Linked DNA regions of Rattus norvegicus. The protein of the gene in region 2 interacts with the protein of the main gene of each other region in a pairwise test. Links are inferred from orthologs where the notes say so. Each region holds a gene or a part of one and is shown on either strand. Other genes may lie near its edges. The genes, in order: Klhl41, Rchy1 and Gorab.

The links.
Region 1: the proteins of Rchy1 (region 2) and Klhl41 interact in binary tests that used the Homo sapiens proteins (3 or more experiments, as listed by UniProt). The two-hybrid records come from large-scale screens. The link is inferred for Rattus norvegicus from reciprocal best matches to the Homo sapiens genes RCHY1 and KLHL41.
Region 3: the proteins of Rchy1 (region 2) and Gorab interact in a two-hybrid assay, tested with the Homo sapiens proteins (3 studies listed by BioGRID and IntAct). The link is inferred for Rattus norvegicus from reciprocal best matches to the Homo sapiens genes RCHY1 and GORAB.

What each region holds. Positions count from the first base shown.
Region 1 is NC_086021.1:74,842,099-74,850,209, forward strand, and holds the start of Klhl41 (kelch-like protein 41), read left to right. Parts: upstream 1-19; coding exon 20-1,129; intron 1,130-4,411; coding exon 4,412-4,569; intron 4,570-4,672; coding exon 4,673-4,780; intron 4,781-7,285; coding exon 7,286-7,471; intron 7,472-8,111. UniProt on the Homo sapiens protein: Involved in skeletal muscle development and differentiation. Regulates proliferation and differentiation of myoblasts and plays a role in myofibril assembly by promoting lateral fusion of adjacent thin fibrils into mature, wide myofibrils.
Region 2 is NC_086032.1:16,394,229-16,402,439, forward strand, and holds the start of Rchy1 (RING finger and CHY zinc finger domain-containing protein 1), read left to right. Parts: upstream 1-3,304; 5' UTR 3,305-3,696; coding exon 3,697-3,786; intron 3,787-8,211. Other genes in the region: Thap6 (THAP domain-containing protein 6), read right to left, coding at 46-168, 1,130-1,337, 2,630-2,709. UniProt on the Homo sapiens protein: E3 ubiquitin-protein ligase that mediates ubiquitination of target proteins, including p53/TP53, TP73, HDAC1 and CDKN1B. Mediates ubiquitination and degradation of p53/TP53; preferentially acts on tetrameric p53/TP53.
Region 3 is NC_086031.1:78,290,957-78,299,167, reverse strand, and holds the start of Gorab (RAB6-interacting golgin), read left to right. Parts: upstream 1-3,679; 5' UTR 3,680-3,756; coding exon 3,757-3,817; intron 3,818-6,074; exon of another isoform or gene 6,075-7,155; intron 7,156-8,211.

The DNA.
Region 1 (8,111 bases), on a different chromosome or scaffold from region 2:
TACCCAGGTTCCTCACAGAATGGATTCCCAGCGGGAGCTTGCAGAGGAACTCCGGCTTTACCAATCCACCCTTCTTCAGGATGGTCTAAAAGATCTCCTGGAAGAGAAAAAATTCATCGATTGTACCCTAAAAGCAGGTGACAAAAGTTTTCCTTGCCACAGACTGATATTGTCGGCTTGTAGCCCTTACTTCCGTGAGTATTTCTTATCTGAAATTGAGGAGGAGAAGAAAAAGGAGATGGCGCTAGACAATGTAGATCCTGCTATACTTGATTTGATCATCAAATACCTGTACTCTGCCAGTATTGATCTCAATGACGGGAACGTGCAAGACATCTTCGCCCTGTCCAGCCGCTTCCAGATTCCGTCGGTGTTCACCGTCTGTGTGTCTTACCTTCAGAAAAGACTGGCTCCTGGTAACTGTCTGGCCATCCTAAGATTGGGGCTTCTTCTCGACTGTCCAAGACTTGCCATTTCTGCCCGGGAGTTTGTGTCAGATCGCTTTGTGCAGATTTGTAAGGAAGAAGACTTCATGCAACTGTCCCCACAGGAGCTGATCTCTGTCATTTCAAATGACAGCCTCAATGTAGAAAAGGAGGAAGTGGTATTTGAGGCCGTGATGAAATGGGTACGGACAGACAAAGAAAACAGGGCGAAAAATCTTAGTGAAGTATTTGACTGTATTCGTTTTCGCCTTATGGCTGAGAAATATTTCAAAGATCATGTCGAGAAGGATGACATAATTAAAAGCAACCCAGAAGTCCAGAAAAAAATCAAAGTTCTAAAGGACGCTTTTGCAGGCAAACTTCCGGAACCCAGCAAAAGCGCAGAGAAAGGGGGGACGGGCGAGGTGAACGGTGATGTTGGTGATGAAGACTTACTTCCTGGTTACCTGAATGATATCCCCAGGCATGGAATGTTCGTCAAAGATCTCATCCTCTTGGTCAATGACACAGCTGCAGTGGCGTATGACCCCATGGAAAATGAGTGTTATCTTACTGCCCTAGCTGAGCAGATCCCCAGAAATCATTCCAGTATTGTTACCCAACAGAACCAGGTCTACGTGGTCGGAGGACTGTACGTGGACGAAGAGAATAAAGATCAACCCCTGCAATCCTACTTTTTCCAGGTAAGAACGCACAGGCTGGGGTTCACCACCCTTAGCCAATTTGTGAATTGTCTGGGGGCAGGGTGCTTACATACCATTCACACGGATATCCCAGTGTGCTCTCTTACACTGTGATGCTTAGCAGAGTATCATAACTAGACTTCATATTTAATAAAAAGGCATGGCGAAGGAAGTCTTTATACCTAACTCATGACTCACAATTTCCTTCTTACCCTTTCTCCCTTATAGTATATATAGGAAGCTGGTGGTAGTTACAGTTCTTCAAAGCTCAGGGTTTCGGTAAAGACTGACCTTATAATCTTTAACACTATTACCTGATAAATAGGTTAGAATATTTTCCTTAAAGTTATTGGTCTAGGGTTGGGGATTTAGCTCAGTGGTAGAGCGCTTGCCTAGCAAGCGCAAGGCCCTGGGTTCAGTTCCCAGCTCCGAAAAAAAGAAAAAAGAAAAAAAAAGTTATTGGTCTATACCACGATGCCTTACACACTGCAAGGGAGTGGGACTTAGTCTGATTTTCTCCTAATCTGGGGAAGGAACATTTCATTTCTTATTTCTTGTTACTGTATAAAAGGTTTTATTGGAAAAGAAAGGACCCTTGTATATATTCTGTACACTTTGGATCATATAAAAAAAAAAGCATTCCCAAATGTCACTGATTAACTTAACCCACACCTTCAGTATTGCCAATCAATACTTTGGGGCTCATGGTTCAATCAGTAAGAATTTGTTTAGGTCATAGCTAATCGTGGCCTGGGATTTTCAGGTACTTAAGTTGGAAAGGCCAGAGATAGACAAGTGTAGAATGTCATACCACAGTCACCACATGCTTTCAAAATACACAACATACCATGCATTCACAAAATACTACCTGTCACCAAGTAGCTAGAGAAATATAGTCAAAATAATAGATACTAATCATGTTTCTTAATTTTCTAAGTTCCAGTGAAAGACACTAGCAAAAGTATTTGAATGTGACCCAGAGATTTCCCCCAAGCTCTATTTTCAAATTCAGATTTACTTTAGAAAGGGCAAATCCAATGAAAGAGATTTTAAGTATATCTGAGAAGTGAAAAATAGCAAATCAAATGGATAGGTAGACAGGCACAGACAGACAGACAGGTCAGACAGATAATATAGTCATAGACCCAAGAAACAGTTACAGCATCGAATTATTCTCAACACACACATGCGTGTGTGCGTGCACACACACACACACACACACACACACACACACACACACAAACACACACTTTAAAAATATACCCACGGCCCACACTCTATTTTCAAGGCCTCGTTTTAACTTTTGCTTTCTCCATCCTGTTGTTTCCCTTTAACTTTACTGTGTCTGGATTTGCAAGTTAGATTACCTGACGAAGCAGGAGCCACGGAAACAGTTACACAGGGGAAGGGCATTTCCCCTGCCGCTTCTAAAAGGCACAGGTGTAGATCAAGATGCCTGAATTGAAATAAAAGGGAGCTTCCTGTGAGAATTGCAGCCTTTGTAGTGTTCTGCTTGGCTGCAGGTGTGATGTGGATTACAGAGTGAACTGGCATTTGGCATATGACTGTGGGGATTCGGGGACCTTATCAAGACTGATTTCCCCTCCTCCGTGGAACTCATAGATTCAAGTTTTAGACCGCAGGAAGCCCACACTTTGAGTGTTCTACATATAAACCCTAATTTTAACAGTGGGATCTTGAAGGGTTTAATAGCTTGAGAACTCATCCACTGAAGGCACTGGCTGGCCACCTACTGTCATCTGGTATAGAAAATGGTCCAAAGATAAGATAGGAAGGTGGGTACCACACAGTCTGGATGGGACCTGGGCCCTCAGGTTTGGGATTAAGATAGCTGTTGATCCATTAAAAATAAAAGTGCCAAAGCTGCATAATGGCATCTCAAGCAATAAAACGCCTATAGACTTATTAGATGGCATGGTATTGAAAACCACCTAAAAAGCCCCGTGAAGTCGGGCAAGTGTACCCACCCGTCAGCCAACTGAGAGGACTTGTTTGAGTATTTTGCACAGAACTTGTCAGACTTCCATAAAGGTTTATTGTTAGTTCTACGTTATTACCTAGTACTCCCCCGACTCCACAGACGTGCTAGGAATCAAACCCAGGGGTTTGGACATGTAATCTCAGCCCCACTGGACTACATCTCTCAGCCCCGTGACACTTTCTTGACCGCAGATTCCTTTCCAAGAGTGAAAACATTACAGTCACAATCTGGATGCTGAATCAAAGTGTCTGCAGCTAACCCTGAGCACAAGGGGATTAACCGTGTGTCATGCTGTGTCTTTTGGTCTCAGAACTTTAACTGGCCCTACTAGACCAGACATGGAATTGGCTTCCAGAGAAGCCCCTCCACATCACTACCAGTCTCTCCTGTTCCAGGCTGTATCGGTTTTGAGGTGAATGCATTCCTCCTCACCTGGAAATGGCATGCAACGGCGCAGCTACGCCTCTCAGTTTCCTCGGCAGTGCTACCCTAAAATGCGAAAAAGAGTACGTTACCATTTTAGAAACTAGGTGCCAGGATGAATCCCTAGTCAGAGCGCGATACTGACAGGTCCACCGTAGAGCTGGCTGCAAGCCAGACTGCTTCTCAGCATAAACCAGAAAGACGATATTTAAGATGACGTCACCCAAAACACAGGTATTGAAATGAGTATTCTTCTGTGCCCAAAACAATAGAACACAGGTAACCTAGACATGTTTAAAAGATGGAAAAGAGATACTGCCCTCCCTCTCAGTGGTCTGTGGACTGAGCGACAAGCCCAGCTGTCCCGGGTGCTGGCTCTGGGAATGTGTTAAATATAGCACGCAGGGGTCATTCGCATACTGTGACCCCTGCCATAGACACCCTGTCTCTTCCCCAGTGTCCCCAAAGTATTAAGATTCTTTGTTTCAAAACTGACTGAGGCACCTCCAGGGAAGGATTTGACAAGAAACTGCCCAGTTCTAACAATTCCATTTTAGTCTCTCTTCTCTCTTGATATCGTTTTTTTTGGGGGGGGGGGTTGTTTTTGTTTTTGTTTTTGTTCAAGTATTTTATTTTTATAGGCCAAGTAGATTTTCTCATTCTCTTTAGTAGCTCTGAGCCAAACTCTAAGTATGACACTTTAAGATTATTCTAAGCTAAAATATAATACTTTAGGACTATAGTTGTGTAGAGACCTTCATTCATCTCTGGAGATTTTAAACATGAAACACTGAGAACTTCTTAGTTACGCCTGGTAATATCTTTCTATGTATTTCCATAACTCATTTCTTTTCCAGCTTGATAACGTATCATCTGAGTGGGTTGGACTACCGCCTCTCCCGTCAGCCAGGTGCCTCTTTGGTCTGGGAGAGGTAGATGACAAAATCTATGTGGTCGCCGGCAAAGACCTTCAGACAGAGGCCTCCCTGGATTCCGTGTTATGCTATGATCCTGTGTAAGTTGACGTGACAGTCCCACAACGTTCCCGCTCCATAAGCCTACGACAAATCCATGTTTTCACCAGCTGGAACATGAATTCTATTATCATTTCATTCTAGGGCTGCAAAGTGGAGCGAAGTGAAAAATCTTCCTATTAAAGTTTATGGCCATAATGTGATCTCACATAATGGGATGATATACTGTCTGGGCGGAAAGACAGATGACAAGTAAGTGCCCCAAGGTTTCCTTTGGATTGACATCTGAGTATGGCTAAGGTTTCTTCCTTTTTATTTATTTATTTATTTTTTACACTATATGCTGAAATGGGACTTGGGTCTCTAACACCATATTTTGCAGATAAAAAATGCAAATAAAATTCTGAAAAGTTTTGGGAGGAAATTGTAATTATAAGGTTTTAAAGTCACTAGACCAAAGAGGGAGGAATGTAGGCCGCTTCCACACGAGCACAGTCCCTCAGTGATACGCATCCTGATCGTGGAAGAGCAGCATCTAGGAGCACGGTCAGCCTTCTATCCAACTGCCTTTTACAACACAGACCAGTAGGCTTTCTGACTCAATGAACCATAAGCAGATTAACATTTAAATCTTCACTTTGTTATTATCTAATGTGTATGGGGTGCACGTGGGGAAGCACACTCAGATGTCAGAAGACAACACCAAGGAGCTCCTTCCACCATGAGGGATCTAGGGATGGAACTCAGGTCACCAGGCTGAAGGGGATAGAAATTTCTGTTGTACTCAAAGTATATCCATTAGCAAAACAGTACGCAGAAAATGATATGATTTGTACTTGACGTGTATAAGAGGGGAGTTGTATTGGTTGGAGATTAAAAGCACAGTAACTGGAGGAGTGCAGTCATTTCTCCAGCGACATGTTTGTGGCTCACTCACTCTCAAGTCTCCATTTCACTACTTCTAGCTAGTCCCTTGAGAGAAAACCAGGGTACATCTCATGTAGGACCCCATCTTGGCTTCTAGGCCATCAGTTCTCAATCTGTGGGTCACCACAATCAACTCTTTCACAGGGATTGCCTAAGACTGTTGGAAAACAGACATTTCATCACAATTCATAACAGAAGTAAAATTACAGTTATGAATTAGTAACAAAAATAACTTTTGGTTGGGTGTTCACCACAACATGAGGAACTGTATTAAAGGGTCACAACGTTAGGAAAACTGAGATCCACCGGTCTAAGCCATCTGTAGTTAGGACAGAGATCTAACATCTCAGACAGTGCTCCTGCGCTCAGTTAAGCCAGCATCCCATCTAGTCAAATGATCACCTTTCATTTACAGTGTGAAGTCTCCCATCCTAGAGAAAGGTGCCTTATTTGGTTTATCATTTGTGCAGGCTAACTGTGAATAGAGCTGTCCAACCATGGAAAGGAAAGGAAATTATGACTTGTAAGGGTCAGTTGGGCACAGTAGCATGGACCCACAGTCCCAGGCTGAGGCCAGAGAATCAGCTGGTCCTGGGATTTCCAGACTACCAAGACGACACAGGAACACCCTATCCGAAAACAAACCACAAAACCAAAAAGATCACAGGTGCAGCAGAAAGAAAATCAAATAAAACCTTCTGTGTCGAGTAAAGAGCTCTATTCTGGAGTGAATTAATTTTATTCAATTAGAATGATAAAACAAAATATAACTGAACAAGCGCTGAGTTTTTTATCATCTCTCTCCATATGAAAAGATGGATATCCAGAAATGAAATCCCTTCCGTAATCTTTGCTTTCTCCATCAAATGAACACTAATTAAGGGTAGATGTGGTAAATGCACCCCTAATTTGGACATTTCCTCTGAGTATGTGGAACAGAGAATCCCTATTAAGTGCATTATGACTTTGAAACATTGGAACTCTGCCAAAATGGTTTACATTGTTCCCTTCAGATAACATTAGTAACCAGAAAACCAATCCGTCAATAAGAAGCACTCACGTCTGCCAGAAGTAATATATTAATCCTGAGACTCTTAGTACCCAGAGAGCATTGCCTAGCAAATGTCCAAGAACTTTGAAATAAATCATTGTGAAAAGTAGAGCGCTGAGGCTGAGGGATGACTCAGTCGCACTTTGTAGAATATGGAAGGCCTTGCATCCAATCCCAAATACGTGGGGAAGGGCAAAGGGGACATAAAGTGCCCTACTGAATATGATTTTCTGTTCTGACCTCACCAAGACCTTCCTTGCCATAGACAAGTTGTAAAGGAAATGTTTATGCATGGTCTTTCTCATATTAAGAAAAAACTACTCTCACAAAAGAGTTTTTGTTTATTGGCATTACCAAACTGGTTACTATTGGGATTTAGGACTATTGATCGGTTATGGAAAACTTTGAGACTCCCAAGGTCTATCCTGAGAATAATTCAATGAATCTACATGTTTCTGGTGGCATTTAGCATGTAAAAGTGTTTTCATCATTAGTCAGTCTACATGATTACTTATGTAATCTACAGTCACAATGGGTTTTTAATATAGGATCTATAGATAAGACTGGACTCACTGGGGAAAAAAATTTTTTGGGTTTGAACCCAGAGGCTCACACATGCTCTGTTAGTACTCTGCCACTAAGCTGCATCCCTCAAACAGTGCCAGGTTACTTTAAATAAAGTACTATATACTCCATCACAAACAGAACTAAATTATTAAAGCAGCTTTCACAAAAAGAAGGTTCTAAAGGGAGCATTTATTTTCTTTTTATGTTCACAGAAAGTGTACGAATAGGGTGTTTATCTACAACCCCAAGAAAGGAGACTGGAAGGATCTGGCTCCAATGAAAACCCCTCGTTCCATGTTTGGAGTGGCAATCCACAAAGGCAAAATCGTGATCGCAGGAGGCGTCACTGAAGATGGCCTTTCAGCTTCAGTTGAAGCCTTCGACCTCAAAACCAATAAGTGAGTTGCTCTGCTGCAGCATAAGAATCCTGTACGTTAGTTTTGCATCTGGGTAGCAGCTACACTTTCTCAGCCTCGGGAGGGGAAGCCAGAGAACCTTGGGTTAAAGGGGAAGGATTTCCCACTCCCCATGCCTCCTCATTAGGAAAATGCGGCTCATGAGTTAGTGCTGACACATCGCTTGCCTGCCTCTGCGCTAACTGAATCCATCCAGTCATGTAGCAAAGGCATGATTACCTCTGAAACACTGTACAACCTTAGGTGGATATGCATGTCTGAGGAACCGGTAGTTTACAAATTAAAGGGCCAGGCGTGGTGGCGCAGACCTTTACTCCCAGCACTTGAGAGGCAGAGGCAGGTGGATCTCTGAGTTCGAGGCCAGCCTGGTCCACACAGAGAAATACTGCCTCAATAAACAAAATCAAACAAAAATAATGAAAAGATTTCCACTTGTTGGCAGCTGGCACTCATACACGATGAGTGCTTTACATGTTTCTTACTTTTTTTTAACTTCTGTTTTTATTGGATTTATGTGAAGATACTTGACTAATATTTTATATAAAATTAATCTTCCTAAATTTTTGAGCTTATACACCTAGGTGAGTACATATGTTTATACAATCACACATATATTGTATTT
Region 2 (8,211 bases):
TAAAATTATGAACTAAAAACTTAGATAGTAAATAGTTTTACTTACAAAAATGAGCTGGGGTTGGAATTCTGCAATGCATGAGGCGCCAACAAGCTGGTGGCCACGGTTACTGACAGGAAGGGTTTTGAGAATGAAGTTTTTTCTACAATGAAGCTTTTCTCTTTTCTCCTGTTAGGAACAGTTAATAAAAGCCATTCAGATATTGCATCGATTCCTTCCTAACTCTGTGTAGTGAGGCATCACACTCCTTCCCATGGGAACTGCTGCCCAAGTCAGTAGCTTTCATTGTTCACCTTAACAGAGCATCCCTAGGGCTCGTCTGTAAACAAAACATTTCCTTAACAATGACAAGAGGAATGAATCAGAGAGGCCACTCCCTACCAGCTGAGAAAAAGAGGACAGGAGAGGACCCGGATAAGTAATTTACAAGAAGTAATAGTGCTCCACAGTTACTGAAGAAAATGCATTCTCAGATGTATTAAGCCACGAGAGACAGAGCCATCAAAGGCAAAGTGGGTGACTCCCAGCATTATCGCTGATAAACAGCAGAAGCCAACTAGGTCTGCTACTCAACCTTTCTGTTTTCTCTTTCTAACCTCATCTCTCTTTCATTCTTTTCCTGTTCTCATCCGTTTCTCTCTCTCCTTTGGTGTGGCTTTACTTGGAACCATATTTCGGTTCTATTTGCAGTTTGCTCTTGAGTTTGTTTTGTTTTGAGACAGGGTTTCTCTGTGTAACTGGCTACGCTGGAGCTCAATCTGTAGACCAGGCTGGCCCTGAACTCAGGGATCTGCCTGTCTATGCCTTTGGAGTGCTGGGATTAAAGTCTTGCACACCACAGAGCTCTTGCGTTCTTAATGACTTCCAATCTGAGACTACCTTAATCTTCTCTGTTTTTAAGACACTAGTTCTGAATTAAAACATTTTTCTACATCAGTCTACTTATCTAGACCCTGGTAACGTATATTTATGAGAAGCTATTGGCCTATGAATCGTGAAAGCTGAAGCTGCAGTCTATGAAAACTCACAGAATACACTTCAAATGAAGAAAGCAGCACACTCATCCAACACAGGTACTGAAAGGGCTTCAGAATTGTCACCGAGTGAGTGCCCACAGCTCATAACAAACCTGTAAGTGACAGGGAGACTCAAAGACAGAAGGGATGGCTCCTGGTTTCAGCTTAGTGTTTGGAGTGCTTCTGTCAAAGTCTGTCTTCTTGAAGTGCCTCGAGCACAGCACATCTCCTTTTTTGGGCTCCCAAATGCCTGCAGTATTCACATCTAGTCTTTTCATGGCTAACACCCATTTTCTTTTGATGTTTTCATCTGTGGGGAATCTAAAAAACAGTAAAAATATATTTTAAATCCAAATACTATTGATATCTTCAAACTGAATATTTCAGAAATCATGATTCCTGGTTATATAACAAATTTAAAAAGTTACATGTCTATGTATCTGTGCGCGCGTGTGTATGTGCATTTGTGTATATGTGCGTGTAGACATGCACATAAGCATTCCGCAGCATAGGTAGTATAGATTAAGGGCAGTTTGTGGGAATTCACTCTCCTTCCATCATGTGATTCCTAGTTACTGAACTTAGGTCATTAGTCTTTGTGACAACTGCCTTTACCAGCTAAGACATTCTGTTGGCCTTATAGCTCAGTTTCAATATCCAGACTTTTCTGCCAACCATTCTTTATACACATGGCCTTTAAATTTTTATCATATCTTATGAATGTTTCAATGGCCATTTAGCATATTTTATCAAGATTTGCAATAAAAGGTTTTTCTTTATCTACAGAAGACCTCTGGCCTTTCCCTTTCTGAGGTGATATCCAGAATTTGTCCTCAATGACTAGGAGGGCCTCTTGTGCTTTTGCTTCTCTGTCAAACCTGAAAATTACTTGTACAGCAACTCATGTATAGCAGGTCTATAAATGCTTTGTGAACGCATGCAGAGAACAGCTCCAGAGTCTAGAGTTCTGGAGCTACTATTCTGACAGATGGGAGGCAGTAATCAGATTTCTCAAACTTTCCAAGCTGGTTCAATATTGTTTTGGGATACAGTAGCACATACACACCTTTTATTTCCATGCCTAGTTAAAGTAACTAGATCTTTCCCTTTTCAGCTTCACAAAAATCCTAAGTATATTTATTAAACCCTATTAGATCCTTCCTATGGATATCACAGGAATGGTCTAACGCTAAATTAGAATTCTCAAACTCTATCCGCAATGCAGTTAAATAATCCTTGGTCTGAATTTGTAGTATATAGTGAACAGCTTTGCCTCATCTATTTCTAAATAGAAGGTATGGATATTTAAACAAAGAACCATCATTTAGATTGTAAATACATATAAACAATAGTGAACTTAATAGAGTTAGAATACAAACATTAGCAAAGGTGACTCTGACAATTTGTGCGTGGTGGTATTTGATTTTTGGTGGTGGTGTTATCTCGTCTTTCATTCCTTGGCACTTAAAACTTGCACATTACAAAGGAACCACTGTCAATTTTAACGAGGTTATTTTAAAGGAACTTGGGAACAAAAACTTGTAACTGCAGACTCGGGTAGAGTAATTTTTAGTAAAAGTTAAAAGTATTCTGCTGAGTACAGCAAGTCTTACACATGAAATGTCAGTCCTTTTAACTTGGAATTTGGCAAACAGCGAGAAGCACATCCAATGGCCGAGCAACATTTCACCATGATTTTAGCAACATAACAAAACTGTAAGAGAATTAAAATGCGTTAGTAACTTTAGGGCTAAGCCAAAGGCATCTCCTCCTAGACAATCGCCTCCCCTCGCCCCCATCCCAACGTCTGGTTTTGCTGATAAAATGTTCTTGGTATTTTTATAAAAGTCTTGGTATTTTGTAAGAGCTGACATCTAGTTATGCACCTTGAGGTCTGAGATTCCAACTTTGTGGGCTTATTTTTCTCATGTTCTTACGGGGTCAGATTTTCTCTCCCACAGGTCTGTGCCCACTAACGCCTGCTGATGTACTGTTTGCCACTAAACTTTCAGCCTGAGCGTCCCCTTCCCCGGGGACACCGCACACGATTGTCCTTCCAGTGTCGCTCCAAGTTGTGATCTCATTTAATGCAGTGGTGTTCTCCCCCTACCCATCTGTGTGCCTGCTTTTTTTCACTTTTCATTCCCATATCTTGGATGGTGACAGGTACCTCTTTTAAAGGAGGCGGAGGGAAAGTAGAACCGACCAACCGCGGGCTCTAGGAGCTGCGCGCGCCGCCGCCGAGCTCCGCCCCTTTTGGAGGCGGCCGCGGGCCGAGCAGAGGGAGGGCCGCTCCTCACAGGCGCTGGCGGCCCAGGGCGGCCTACAGCAGCGCCCGCCCGGCGTCGCAGTGGTCCCCTTCGCCCCGCAATCTGGGCTGGCAGCAATGGGGGGGGGGAAGAAGAGCCAACCTAAGAGTTATTACCGTTAGCAGCGACGACAGCGACTAACGTCGACGACGGAATAAGCGTCTCACTTGGCTTTCGCCCCTTCCTCCAGGAACCGGACATCCGGCTGCTCCAGATCACGTGATCATCCGCCATATTGACTGTAGTGGCCTCTGCTCCGAGGAGGAGGGGTATCAGACCGGCTCTGCTTCTTTAAGGCGTGGCTTCCAAGCTGGGGGAAGGTTCTGTGGATTGTGTGGAGGGAGGTGGAGGAGGAGGAGGAGGAGGAGGAGATGGCGGCGACGGCGCAGGAAGATGGCGTCCGCAGCCCGGCTCCAGGGCCGCGGGGTTGCGAGCACTATGACAGAGCCTGTCTCCTCAAGGTGATGACTTTAAAGGGCACTTACTGATGAGCTGCGGCCCGGGCAGGTTGGGCTAGGAACTTAGTCGTGGGCATAAATTTTAGACTGCTCTGCTTGTCAGGACACCTTCCATCTGGAATTGGGTTCCCCTTGCAGGAAACGTTTTTTGGCAAGGCGTGCATGAGTTCTGTACTCGATCTCAGCTTTTGTACTTTGCAAGCAAAGTTCTTGTTTGTAAAGATCTGGCCCTTGCGTAAAGTCACTTCCCTGGTGGGTTTACTCCTCACTTGCGGTTGACAGTAGAATGAGGACGTGAAAGGCCTGTCCTAAGCAGTTCTGTCAAGTGTGTATGATGCAGCAAGGGGAAAATCAGAATATAATTTCAGGATGTATAGTAAGTTTATAGTATAGCTTGTCAGCTTCATTTTGCTGTCTAGGAATATGCCTAGACCTGTCCAGAAAAAAATATATGTGTGAAATGAGAGTTGTGTAATTGCCATTAAGTTGGGTATCGGAGAAGTGCCTAGTGCATATATGCTATCATCTTTCTTGGCTTGAGACGTTCTAGTCATCTAGAGTTTTTAAAAATGACCCTCACACAGTTAAGACTTATCTGATTTTTTTTTTTTTTAAAAGAAATAGTGTTAATATTTTGTGTTGAGAAAGTCTGAGATTTGAGCTGAGGTTATAACTCAGCCTTAGACTCGAGTTTAAAATGCCGAAGGCTTGGCTTCAGTCTCTAGAAGTTTCCTCCCATTGAGAAGAAACTTTGACTGTTGGAATCTTACAGCTTTCCCCTCATACTTTAGATATGTCCTTAACTTGCTCTGTAATTTTGAGCAAGTTACATTTTAAAGGGCTTGTTTATAAAACACACAATTTTAGAAGGAAGTCTTAGTGGTAAAGGCCTGTACTTCCAGAAGACGCACACGTCCAGCTATTTTTGAAGCTGAGGCAGAAGGAATACCAGCCTGGAGGTGCTATTGCCAATGAGAAAAAAATGGAGCTGGGGCTGGGGGTGTATATGGGTCATTGCTAGAGTACTGGGCTCACCGGAATGAGCCGCCAGATCCAGTCTTCTGTGCCAAAGGTGAACGTCTTTCTTTATAAACAGTGCGATGATTGCAGACTAGAGTGTTGAGGAGGTGTGACCCCAGAAATGACCAGTAGGAAATTAACTGTTACTCACAGTGGTCATCAACATTTTCTTTTTTAACCCTAACAGTCAGCCCTGCTGGTCACTGAGCTTAAAAGTTAGGATTAAGTGATAGGCTTAGATCTGTAAGACAGCTTAAACCTTTTTCTGCAGGCCACGGCTTGGTGAGATTCATTGCATTGGATGAAGTTTTTTCAAACTGGTCAGTTGTCTAATGTATAAGGAGTTAAATATTATTCTTTTGGTTACATTCCTACTGAAATATTTTTAAGGTTTCAAAGGTTTAAAACTGAATTTAACATCTGCTTTTCCCCTCCTACCCCTGCAAAGAAATTGCACAACCAAATTTGTGTTTCACAGCACTTAAAATATTTTTCTCTGAGTGTCAAGCATTGTTTTTCTTTCCCCTCTCCCTTTTGCTTAAATAGGAGAGGCCAGCTGAGGTGTTTTAAGGAGCAAGTCATGTACTAGATCAAGTTTAGCTGTTCACGTAAGAGAAGGAGTGACAATTGGCTTTTGATTTGGCAAGGGGAGGTCACTGTTGATCTTAACATGTGTCAGTGAAAGACCCAGGATAAAGCTTCCTTGGAGGGGATACTGGAAATAGCATAGAGCAGTTTTGGACTTTTATTGCCAAGGAGAGCAAAAATGTGGCTGTTTTGCTGACAGCTGTGTCACAGTGTTTCTGCACACTGGTCATTTTGTAATGCAGCAGGAAAGAGAACCAGTGAGTAGTCACAGTGGGAAGACCCAGCGTACAAGTGAGGCTGATCTTGGCTGGCAAGGCAGAGCGTAGGAGTTTGCTTCTCTATTGCTGCAATAAACACCAGAACCAAAAATTACATGGGGAGCAAAGGGTTTATTGTTTGCCCTTCCTGTGACAGTTTATTAGGGAAAACCAAGGCAGGATATCCTGAAGGGCAGGTACCTGGAGGTAGGAACTGAAGCTGAGGCCATGCTGGAATGCTGCTTACTACTGACTTGCACTCCATAGCTTGCTAAGTCTTTTATCTCCTTCCTTCCGTCTGCCCTTCCTTCTTTCCTTTCTTGCACTAAAATCATTTATTAAATCTTAGCTCATACTCATAAACATTTTTAATAACTTATCTGACAAATAGAAATCTTTCAGCAAGCACTTTGGTTTTCTCGAGGAAAAGTTCTTAGTTAGTTGGCTTGTGAAGTAAGTTAATTGCTTTGTTCATGGAACATTTTTTGACTTGAAAAAGATTGGTCATTCAAGCTTAAGTATATGGCGACATTTTCTCAGAATGAGGGAAGGAGTCAGACTTGTGACAGAGAAATAATTAACAGAGCTTTGAACCATTAGTAACCTTGAAATGAGACCTTGTAGCTGTAGTGCACTGTCAAAAGCTCTTTGCTATCCTTAAGAGCTTTAGAGTATAACAAGGCCCTGAGTTTTAACTGCTGTGGTCTAAGTCTATGACTGTGTCAGAGGAGGGTTGGGATACAAAGCCATTTAAAGTGAGAACATTTAGGTATTGAAGGGATCCTTGTGGATGTTTTCATATTTTGGTTAGAGTATGTTGGGGGAACAAGAAGCCAATAACGTTTCAGCATAAAGGATGAACTATGCTATGGTTCATTTATAGCACAGGAACCCCACTGGCCTAGGGATTTTTTTTTAATTTAATGTCTTAGTTGGGGTTTCTATTGCTGAGACTAAACACCATGACCAAAAGCAAGCGTATTTGATGTATTCTTCCATATACGTCCATCATTGGTGGAAGCTAGGACAGAAACTCAAGCAGGGCTGGAACCTGAAGGCCAGAGCTAAAGCAGAGGCCGTGGAGGGCTGCTGCACACTGGCTTCTTTCCCTTGGCTTCCTCAGCTTGCTTTCTCATAGAATCCAGGACCACCAGCCCAGGGACGGCACCCACAATGCCCATGTGGCCCTCCCCCATCGATCACTTACAGAACACCTTACAGCTGGATCTCATGGAGGCATTTCCTCAACTGAGGCACCTTCCTCTCTAATGACTGTAGCTGTGTCAACTTGATACACAAAACCAGCCGGTCCAGCTTTTTTTTATTTCTCTGAGAATGTCTTAAGTTTGGTTACCCCCCCCCCCAAATTTATATTTATTGCATCCTATGCAATATTAGTTATATGCATCATGATTAGTAAATATTAGTGAAGTTAAAACATTTTGTGTTTAGATGTTGTCTTTTTTTTTTTTTTTCCGGAGCTGGAGATCGAACCCAGGGCCTTGCGCTTGTTAGGCAAGCGCTCTACCACTGAGCTAAATCCCCAACCCCTAGATGTTGTCTTTTTTCCTTTTAAAGATTTATTTATTTTATATCTGTGAGTACATTGTTGCTGCCTTCAGACGCACGAGAAGAGGGCATCAGATCGCATTACAGATGGTTGTGAGTCATCATGTGGTTGCTGGGAATTGAACTCAGGACCTCTGGAAGAGTAGCCAGTGCTCTTAACCACTGAGCCATCTCTCCAGCCTTAGATATTGTCTTAATCAGGGTTTATATTCATGCACAAAACATCATGATCGAGAAGCAAGTTACGGAAGAGAGGGTTTATTCAGCTTATACTTAATTCCACATTGCTGTTCATCACCAAAGTCAGTCAGGACAGGAACTCACCCAGGGCAGGAACCTGGAGGCAGGAGCTGATGCAGAGACCATAGAGGAATGCTGCTTATTGGCTTGCTCAAATTGCTTTCTTATAGAACCCAAGACTACCAGCCCAGGGATGGCACCACCCACAAGGGGCCCTCCCACCCTTGATCACTTATTGGGAAAATGCCTTACAGCTGGATCTCATGGAGGCATTTCCTCAAGGGAGGCTCCTTTCTCTGTGATAACTGCAGCTTGTATCATGTTGACACACAAAACCAGACAGTAAAGATGTTAAGGCATATAAATGATTTTTCCCCCTGGAAAATTTTAGATGCTGAGATTAGGTAATGAAATTAGCACTTTGCAGGTGCTAGGCAAATAACTTCCACTAAGCTACATCCCAAGCCTGGGCATTTCTTGATATAGCAGTGTAAAAAAATTAAATACTCATGAAGTGACCTAGCAGTAATGATGTTTAAATAATAAAGAATACATTTCTGTATATTTCTTTCCTTATAACAATTCCAGACGGGTATAGAGCCTCTGTTCCATGTGGTTATTTTAGAGTCAAGTTTTTTTTTTCCTGTTGTATTATTTTGATGTATTTTAAGGCATATGATCATGTGTGGGATCCAACTGTAGATTAACTGGGTAATGTGCTCAGGAAGTAAGGAGCAGATTTCAGTGGACAACT
Region 3 (8,211 bases), on a different chromosome or scaffold from region 2:
TGAACCCCAAGATGGTAGCCTGGAAAAAATTGCCTCTAGTTGTGGTACCGTTCAAACTTAGCACATACCTTTAATCAAAGGGCTTTCTGCTTCATGTAAACAAGATTGAATAATGTCAACCATAGGTCAAGAGATAGACCAAGCAACCAGTTGGCAGGAAGAGCGTACAGATGAAATAAAAATAGAGAGTGAGAGGAGGCTAGGAGGATAGACAGCGGGATGCACCAGAAGTAGAAAGGGGGAACATTCAATTGTTTTGTTTTGTTTTAAGATATTGTGGAGTGGGAGAATTGTTTGTTTGTTTGTCCTTCTGAGATATTAGTTGTGGAGGAGTCAACTGGGTGACTTCCCTGTCTTTCTGAGCTAGCAGATTTTCATCCCAGCATCTGGCTCCTGAGTCTTCAACTGGTAAAATTGAGCAATTGGGATTTTGTTTTTAAACCAACATCTGCCGTATACTGCAGCCACTGTAAACTAAGCTACTTTGCCATGCCTTCTATTTCACCTTGGAACACTGACTGCTCTCAGAAACTGAGAGGCAAAAGCAGCCTTACTCTTCCATTCTATCTATCTGGAGTGAAGAAGGTGCCTAACATCGGACCTTAAAAAATAATAAAGGCCCTTCTGATTTTCCTCAACTAGTTAAAATGCGTTTATTAACTAAAAAGTTCAAAGCTGCAAGAAGAATAAAAAAATATTTCATATTTTCAGCACCATAGAAATTCATTCTAGAAAGAAATCTCAAGTGCATTAAATGTGAAAATGTTATAAATGAACATTAAACTTAGAAAGGTTTGTTCTTTTAATACATAATTGGTTTTTAGCAGCTGCTAGTCTGTTTTATGCTGGGTAAATAAGAGGTTAAAGTTTATATCGTGGAACTCTTATCAAACTGGGGGATAGAAAATAAAAATGTAAAATACAAACCGCCTAGATATTACACTCAGTGCTGTATAAGTCATAAAAGTGCAGGAAATAGGAGGCTGGTATTTAGATAGTGTGGTCGTATAAAGCCTATGTGGACTTGAGGACCATAACTTAAGCAGGAAGGATCAATGGACAAGGTGAAGAGAACAGCTTAAGGAACGGTGACTGGGAAAGCTCTGGCTAGGCCGGCAGAGAGGAGGGAGAAGCCCTGGGCATTCTAAAGGTCCGAGCAAATCCATCCGATTGGAGTTTAAGGACAGTGAAGAAAGACAGCTTACTCTAGAAGGAGGAGGAGGAGGCCAATGACGTAGGATCATAGAGGATCTGGGATTTTATTCCAAGTGAAGTCGGAAATTATTTCCCAAGTTATGAATGTTACCTTGTGTGGGAGGATGTGTGCGGGCGTGTATACAACGCCATGGGGATGGAAATCTGAGCACCACTCTGTACGAACTTCTTTCATTCACCCTCATGTGGGTTACCAGGAATTGAATGCACGATGCCAGTTTCCACAGCTCGTACCTCAATCGCCTGAGCCGGCCGGGCAGCTCAGTTTTATAAATGCACTAGACACACAATTCTATTTTTAAAAAAATATCAGTTATTTTTATTGTTTTACACTGGGTCTCACATCACAGCCAGGGTGGTCTCTAATTCACGGTGTAACCCAGACTGGATTCAAACTCATGCCACAGCCTCTTGAGTGCTGGAATTATAGGAATGGAGCACCACATCTGGCTCTAGATTTTTGGTTTTAAAAAAACACCAATCATCTAGTGAAGAATCAACCGGGGAAAAATATTACAGTCCAAATTGTCACATATGATACCTTTTTATAAACACACAAACATGCTGAAATATATATATATATATATACAAATATATATATATTTAAATACAAAAATGTACATTATGGAACTTAAAAGAATATAAAAAGAAAATACTACAAAATATAGCTACTCAAGACTGAGTTTCTTACAGATAACTGAAAACAAACTAGTTAAGAGCCTGAACATATAGAGATTAGAAAAACACAGCCTACTGCTCTGGCAAATAAGGAAGCCTTCTGTGTGTAAGGGAAACAATAACACGCCTGGTGTATATGGTATAGGATCCAGATTTTTACACAAATGGGGAAATTTTTCCCTTTAAATATAGTTGGCTTAACATGACTGAGATTTCCAGCAAAACTCTTCTAGAGATATTCCCTCAACTCAGAACAAAATTCTCCTACAGAACAAGGACTTTTGGAACTGAGTTTCCACCAGTATATCCTACAGCATTGTAAAAGTGGGCTCCTTGAGGAAGGGCCAACAGAACAAGGAAAAGGAGATTTGGAATGTTACAAATGGGAAAGTATAACTTTATACAGATGGATTTTATTGGCTTTTATTATCTCTTGCTGGTGCCTTGATTTGCATTCATAAGCAAGGCAGAACCTTTTAAAATGCCATCATTATTGACTCTATTAAGATTAGTGATAATTCTTGAAACTCATAGAAAATGAATGAATAAAATGTAACAGAGAGCACACACATTGGTTTAAGATTGCTGTTGGGTCACTAGTAAACGGTTATTGTGTGCAGAGGGTAAGCTGAATCGGCTACCAGATTGTGACAGATTGCTACACTTTATCCTGTAGTCAGCGTATACCTGTTTACATATTTAGTCTATGTTCAAAACTTGAACAAAACTAATCCTTTTAGATGGTTATTTTTACCTTTTAAATATAGTGAGAATAAACTCATCTTTAAGATAAGCATGTGTGGCATCCTTGAATTTGGGAAAAACCCATTGAATTTCAAAGTTTAAAGATTATAAGAAAGATGTCGAACCTTTTTCTGATACTTATCTAAACTGAACTGCTCATTCCAATCATTGGTGTCATATTTTACGGTATGCTGTTTTATTTCAACTTGATTAAAAACATTGACTCCTAGGCTGGAAATTAATACACTTTTAAATTTTCAATGTAGCCAATGTAATGTTTTTGGGTTTTAGTAAAAATAATGAAAATAGAAACGATTAGTCGGTTTAAAAAAAACGCTGACTTAGGCATACATTGACAAGTTTTGCAGCTTTTAATTTTTCTAAACTCTACTTAAAACGTTGAAATGGAAGCTCAAGAAGACAGCTTTAGACCAAAAATAGTCATCACTTAGGACTTGAGTGTGGTGTGGTGATGCGGCACTTCTTTCTATAGTCCCAGCACTTGGCAGGAGGATTTGTGAATTGGAGACCAGCAAAATCTCTTGGTATAAGGGTTAGGTACTGAGTCTCATTCATCAAAGAAATAAGAAAATGAAATCTGCTAGATAACTACTGTCTGGCAGAGAACTGGCCATTGATTATACCTCACCCCTACTCCATGTTTCTCCATGACTTAGAATCTACAAGCCAAGGATGCTCCGGTACAGCCCACCTCCCAGGCAACACTGACTCCGCCCAGCTGGTCAGACAGGACCCGCCCTCTTTAGGCCTCCTCTGCCAAAGCCTCCCTGTCAGTTTGCATCAGCCCTTCTTCTCATTCCCATAGTCCCCATCTTGCCAAAATTTATGGAAAAGGAAGAACTGGAACGTGTAGCAGAGGCCCAGGAGTGGAGACGAAGGCGGTGGTGGTGCGGTCCGTCGAGATGGTTCTTCAGGCATCGCTCGGACAGCTCCAGGGGCGCAGGCCCCCGAATGACGAGAGGGTCCTAGCGCCACAGTTCAGCGCTCTGATTGGCTGTTCGCCGCATCCACTGAAGGAACCCGGATGTGCCTGTGGAGTTGTGTTGGCAATCTGCGCGCCGGGATTTGGGCACTCTTTGGGTGCCTAGGGCTAGGCGGATGGCTCAGGGTTGGGCTGGCTTCTCTGAAGAAGAGCTGAGGAGACTAAAGCAGAATAAAGGTAAGGTGTATATCCGTGTGGGTGTGGAGTCTCGAGTCTGAAGGACAGGAGGCCTTCCTAGTGGGTGAGGGGGCGTGGGGGCTGGAGCTGCAAGTGGAAGGACAGGAATCGTGGGGCTCCCAGGTGGCTGTTTTAGCTGCAGAGGCCCCGAGGGTTTCTCTTTTAACATCCGCTTTCTGATGATTTAATATACCCCTGTTTAAAGAATTGAGGCTAGGGAGAGAAAGCGAAGCCAACACCAGAATGGCTCGTCAGGGAGGACTGTAGCACAAATCAATGGTTGCAGACTTGGCGTCAGGGTGACTGAAGAGTAGCACTGCATATATATACAGCATCATAATTGCGAACTTATAAAAAGTTATTGCGAAAGGGATCATGAGAGTGAATAAGCGTGAAAGAGGTGGTAATTTATGATACATCTGTATTACGTTTACTTCTGGCTACCGGATGAATTTGCACATCTTTCCAGTTTTGGGGAATCGCAAACCAAAAGGGTTTTTGAGAGGTTAAGATTTGAAGTGCGTGTATGTGTTTGTGTGCACGAGCACAGTGCACTCACATGTTTGTCTTTACTGCCTTGAGAGACAGCCAAAATCTAGTGCTCTCCCCAGGGCTTTATGGAATAATTATAGATCAATATATGGCCTTGCTACAACGCTACTTCTGATTCATTAAATTTTCTGGTACTTGGTAGGAAACGATGTAAAAACGCTCTTGACCTGTGATTGAAACTTCACAAAGATGTCTGTGCTAATCTTGGTAGTGCCCATCACTTCTGTGAGAATTTTCTGCCACTATTAACGTTATAAAAAGTATATTTTATTTAAGGATGAAATTAAATAAATTCTTCCATGTCTGTAGTTTGTGAGAAATTTGGATAGGGCTCAGGTACACTGTAATTTTTAGCCTAGATATGAGAATTATTTAGGGCTGACAGGTGCAAAAGGAGGTAAGTCGCTAACATGAGGTCACTGTGCCTTATATACATTTGGGGGAAATAGGGTTGGTCTAGGGATCTTTTAAAACTCTCATGAAATTATCATATCAGATGTGTCCCAACTGATTCTGTCCAGCTGGGTGGTTTCAGGTTCTTTTGTTCTGTGAATCATTCTTCATTCACATACCTGTGTCTAAAGTACAGGCATCTAGATCTGATCTGACTCCGTTCTCAGCATCTGCTTTTGAATTAGGTGTGTGGTCCAGGGGCTTCTTCCGTCCTTGCCAACAGGGATGCTCACCTGTCATGAAATATAACTTCTGCATCAGAGGTGTTAAGATGAGCAGGACATCTTTGCCTTTAGAGACCTTGTAGATTAATGAGACAGACCGTGAAATACTGTGGGGGTAGATATTGACCAAGTGTTAGCCACAGAGCAAGTTCATGCTGAGGATTTAATGAACTCTGGGAATATTTCATGGAGGTTAAATGTTGTCTTTAACTTGCCAGGGTTTAATGTAGGGCTCCCATATGTTTGTTATCTTAAAAAAAGTATATTTTAACTATTTCTTTAATTTGGATATGGTTAGAAGTTGATAAGAACCTAAACTTCAAGGCCTGTCCCTTGGTCATGAAACACTAGACTGCGTTTAAAATCACCCATATGACATCTGAGAACAGAAGTATCTTCCCACCTTTATGTAGCCTTAGCGGAACACTGTGATCAGCACAAAAATACCAAGTCTTCTACCTTGGGCTTCCCATTCCTAAAGCTGCAGAAATCACGTCCTCCTTGCAGCTGTTAAGAATACAGTTAAATAATCTAGGAAGATGGGATCCATTGCCAGCAAAAATAAGTACAGGGTGCTTTTGAAACACTTGAATGCATATGCAGTCAAGAATGTTCTTAGCCACTTTGTTTATAATATTCAGAAGTTAGAAATAAACCAGTTGTTTACTAGCAAGCGAGAGGATACATAATACAGTTGATGGGACTGTATTAATCATTAGCTACATTCATTAATAATGAGTTTTATTTTTAAAAGGAACAGGTTTGCGGCTGAGTAGATAATGGCATAGTATAGTTTATATAGGAACAAAATTAGGTAAAATAGGCGTCCTTTAAGACTATCTGAAGACTATCAAAGAAGTGAAATAAAATTGTGATTGATAGAGAGGCGAGGGTGTGTGATGGGGAGGGAGAAATACATACAGCAGCACTGGTAATTAAGAAATTAGGCTAACAGTTTTAATAAAAGCAGTAAAGAAAACCTTGGAAACATAGCCAGTTGTTTAAAATAATGAAGGTTTATTTTTCAGTCTAGTGTCATGTAACATGGGTTGCCAGGTGAAACTGATACACAGTCATCCCATATCATCTTTTGATGCTGTCACACGGCAGTTATTTTTGGCAGGAAGAAGAGAAGATTGGAACTAGAACATTGGTAATTAAATGCTTTCTCTGGCAAATAACTTTGATAAAAAGTAAGTCAAATCATTTTATGGAACGGAAACATTTGTTATATAATGAAATGTTGTCACAGGGAGACGGGGTATGTCAACTATAGTCATCGACATCTTAAACTGAATTATTTTCACTCACACAGATTAGAAGAGTGTATGGCATACATATACCCCAATAAGTATGATGTATGTATACACACATGATCTGTGGCTGATTTCATATGTAAAGAAATGGAAGAATGCAATACAAGTATGCTGTCAGTTTTAAGATAAATATTTATTTCTATGTGCCCTTTATTATTCCTTTCTACTCATTTATTTTATGGTGTGAGCCCTTTGGCCATAGCATGGGTGTGGCAGTCAGAGGCTGTCTTTTAGGAGTCACTTCCCTCGTTCTACCCTGTGAGTCCTAGGAGTCAGCACTCAGGTCTTCAGGCTTGGTGACAAGTGCATGTACCTGCTCAACCGTCTTACCCACTGCCTTTATTCTTGATAGTACGAGTCCCGTTCATCTCTTTGTTTTATTTAGTAATTTCCTTGCTATTCTTAACAGTTTATATAATAATTTTTAAAAAAATTTTTACCAAATTTTAGGGGATAGGAATTTGATTAGAATTGCATTGAATCTTTAGATCAGTTTGGAGATATTTAGTATCATCATGGAAGGGTGCATGTGTGTCCATTTATTTGCCGTGTAACAAATTTTAGAATTTTTTCCCATATAAATTTTGAATGTTTTCTGTTGTTAGATTTTTTCTTCCGTAGAGTTATGACCATTTCTGGCATTGAAATTAATTATCATGGTATCTTTAATTATCATTTCTCTTATAGTATGTGTGAATATAAAAGAAATAGTAGATGTTTCAAAGAAAAGGAATATGAATGTATGCCAACCATCAACAAGAAGCAGAGCATTAGAAATCAGAAGCACAGTGAGGTACCACCTTATGCCCTCTTGTTTGCCAAAGTTAAAACATTAAACAAAACAATACCATGCATTAAAATGGATTCTTACACATTGCTGGACAAAATGTGTTTGGAAAGCAGTTTAACATCTAGTGTTACATGTTGTCACCCAGTACTTTGGGGGTAATATCCAAGGCAAAATTTAACAGCCAGGTTCACAGAGGTAAAATCTAAAACCAGCTTCAGTGTCTCTCAGGGAAGAAGATGGGGAACTTGGGCTTGTCACTCTGAGGATGTGTCTCAGCCCTGGAAATGAGTGACTGTGACAGTGTCAATAAGTGTGACACTGGGGAAGAAATACTTGCTCTTGCAGTACACTTTGGGTGAAATTAATACTTTTTAAAATTATTTGTAGACTCATAAGAAAATGATCAACATGACTGGGGTCAGAGAGAAGGATATAATTATCAGACACACAGATCACTGACATGTAGACACACACACACACACACACACACACACACACACACACACACACACGAGAAACATTCCCCAGGAACTGATCGTAGCAGTTACGAGTCTCACTGATCTTCCAGAGGGCGTGGGTTCAGGTCCCAGCACCTACTTGGCAGCTCACGCCCTTAAGTAAACTGCAGTTCCTTGGGATCTAATGTTCCGTTCTGCCCTCTGAGGTCACGGCATGTGCATGCTGTATATAGATGCAAGCAAAACACTAATATTCATAAAATCTCTTTTTAAGGTATTTAACTTTTCAGGGTTTTTCCCTCCTTGCTTTTGATGATCCAGTTTTAAAGTGTTACTAGTAACGATAATCATCAGTCATGTTTACAAAATAACACGCTTGTTGGCCTCTGATGTCTTTTGCTTTCTGGTTCAGAAAATTGGACCTAGGGTGCCATGATGTTTCTTCCCCTCTGTATCGTCAGCCTGGCTTTTAGTTGGAACATGCCAGTGCAGATTAAGAGTCACTTTCCACTATAGTGTAATCTAGGTTTTGATGGTTGTTACGGTCCCTATGTTTAAAACCACAGCCATTCTTATAAACCTGCTGCTGGAGCCAGAGTTA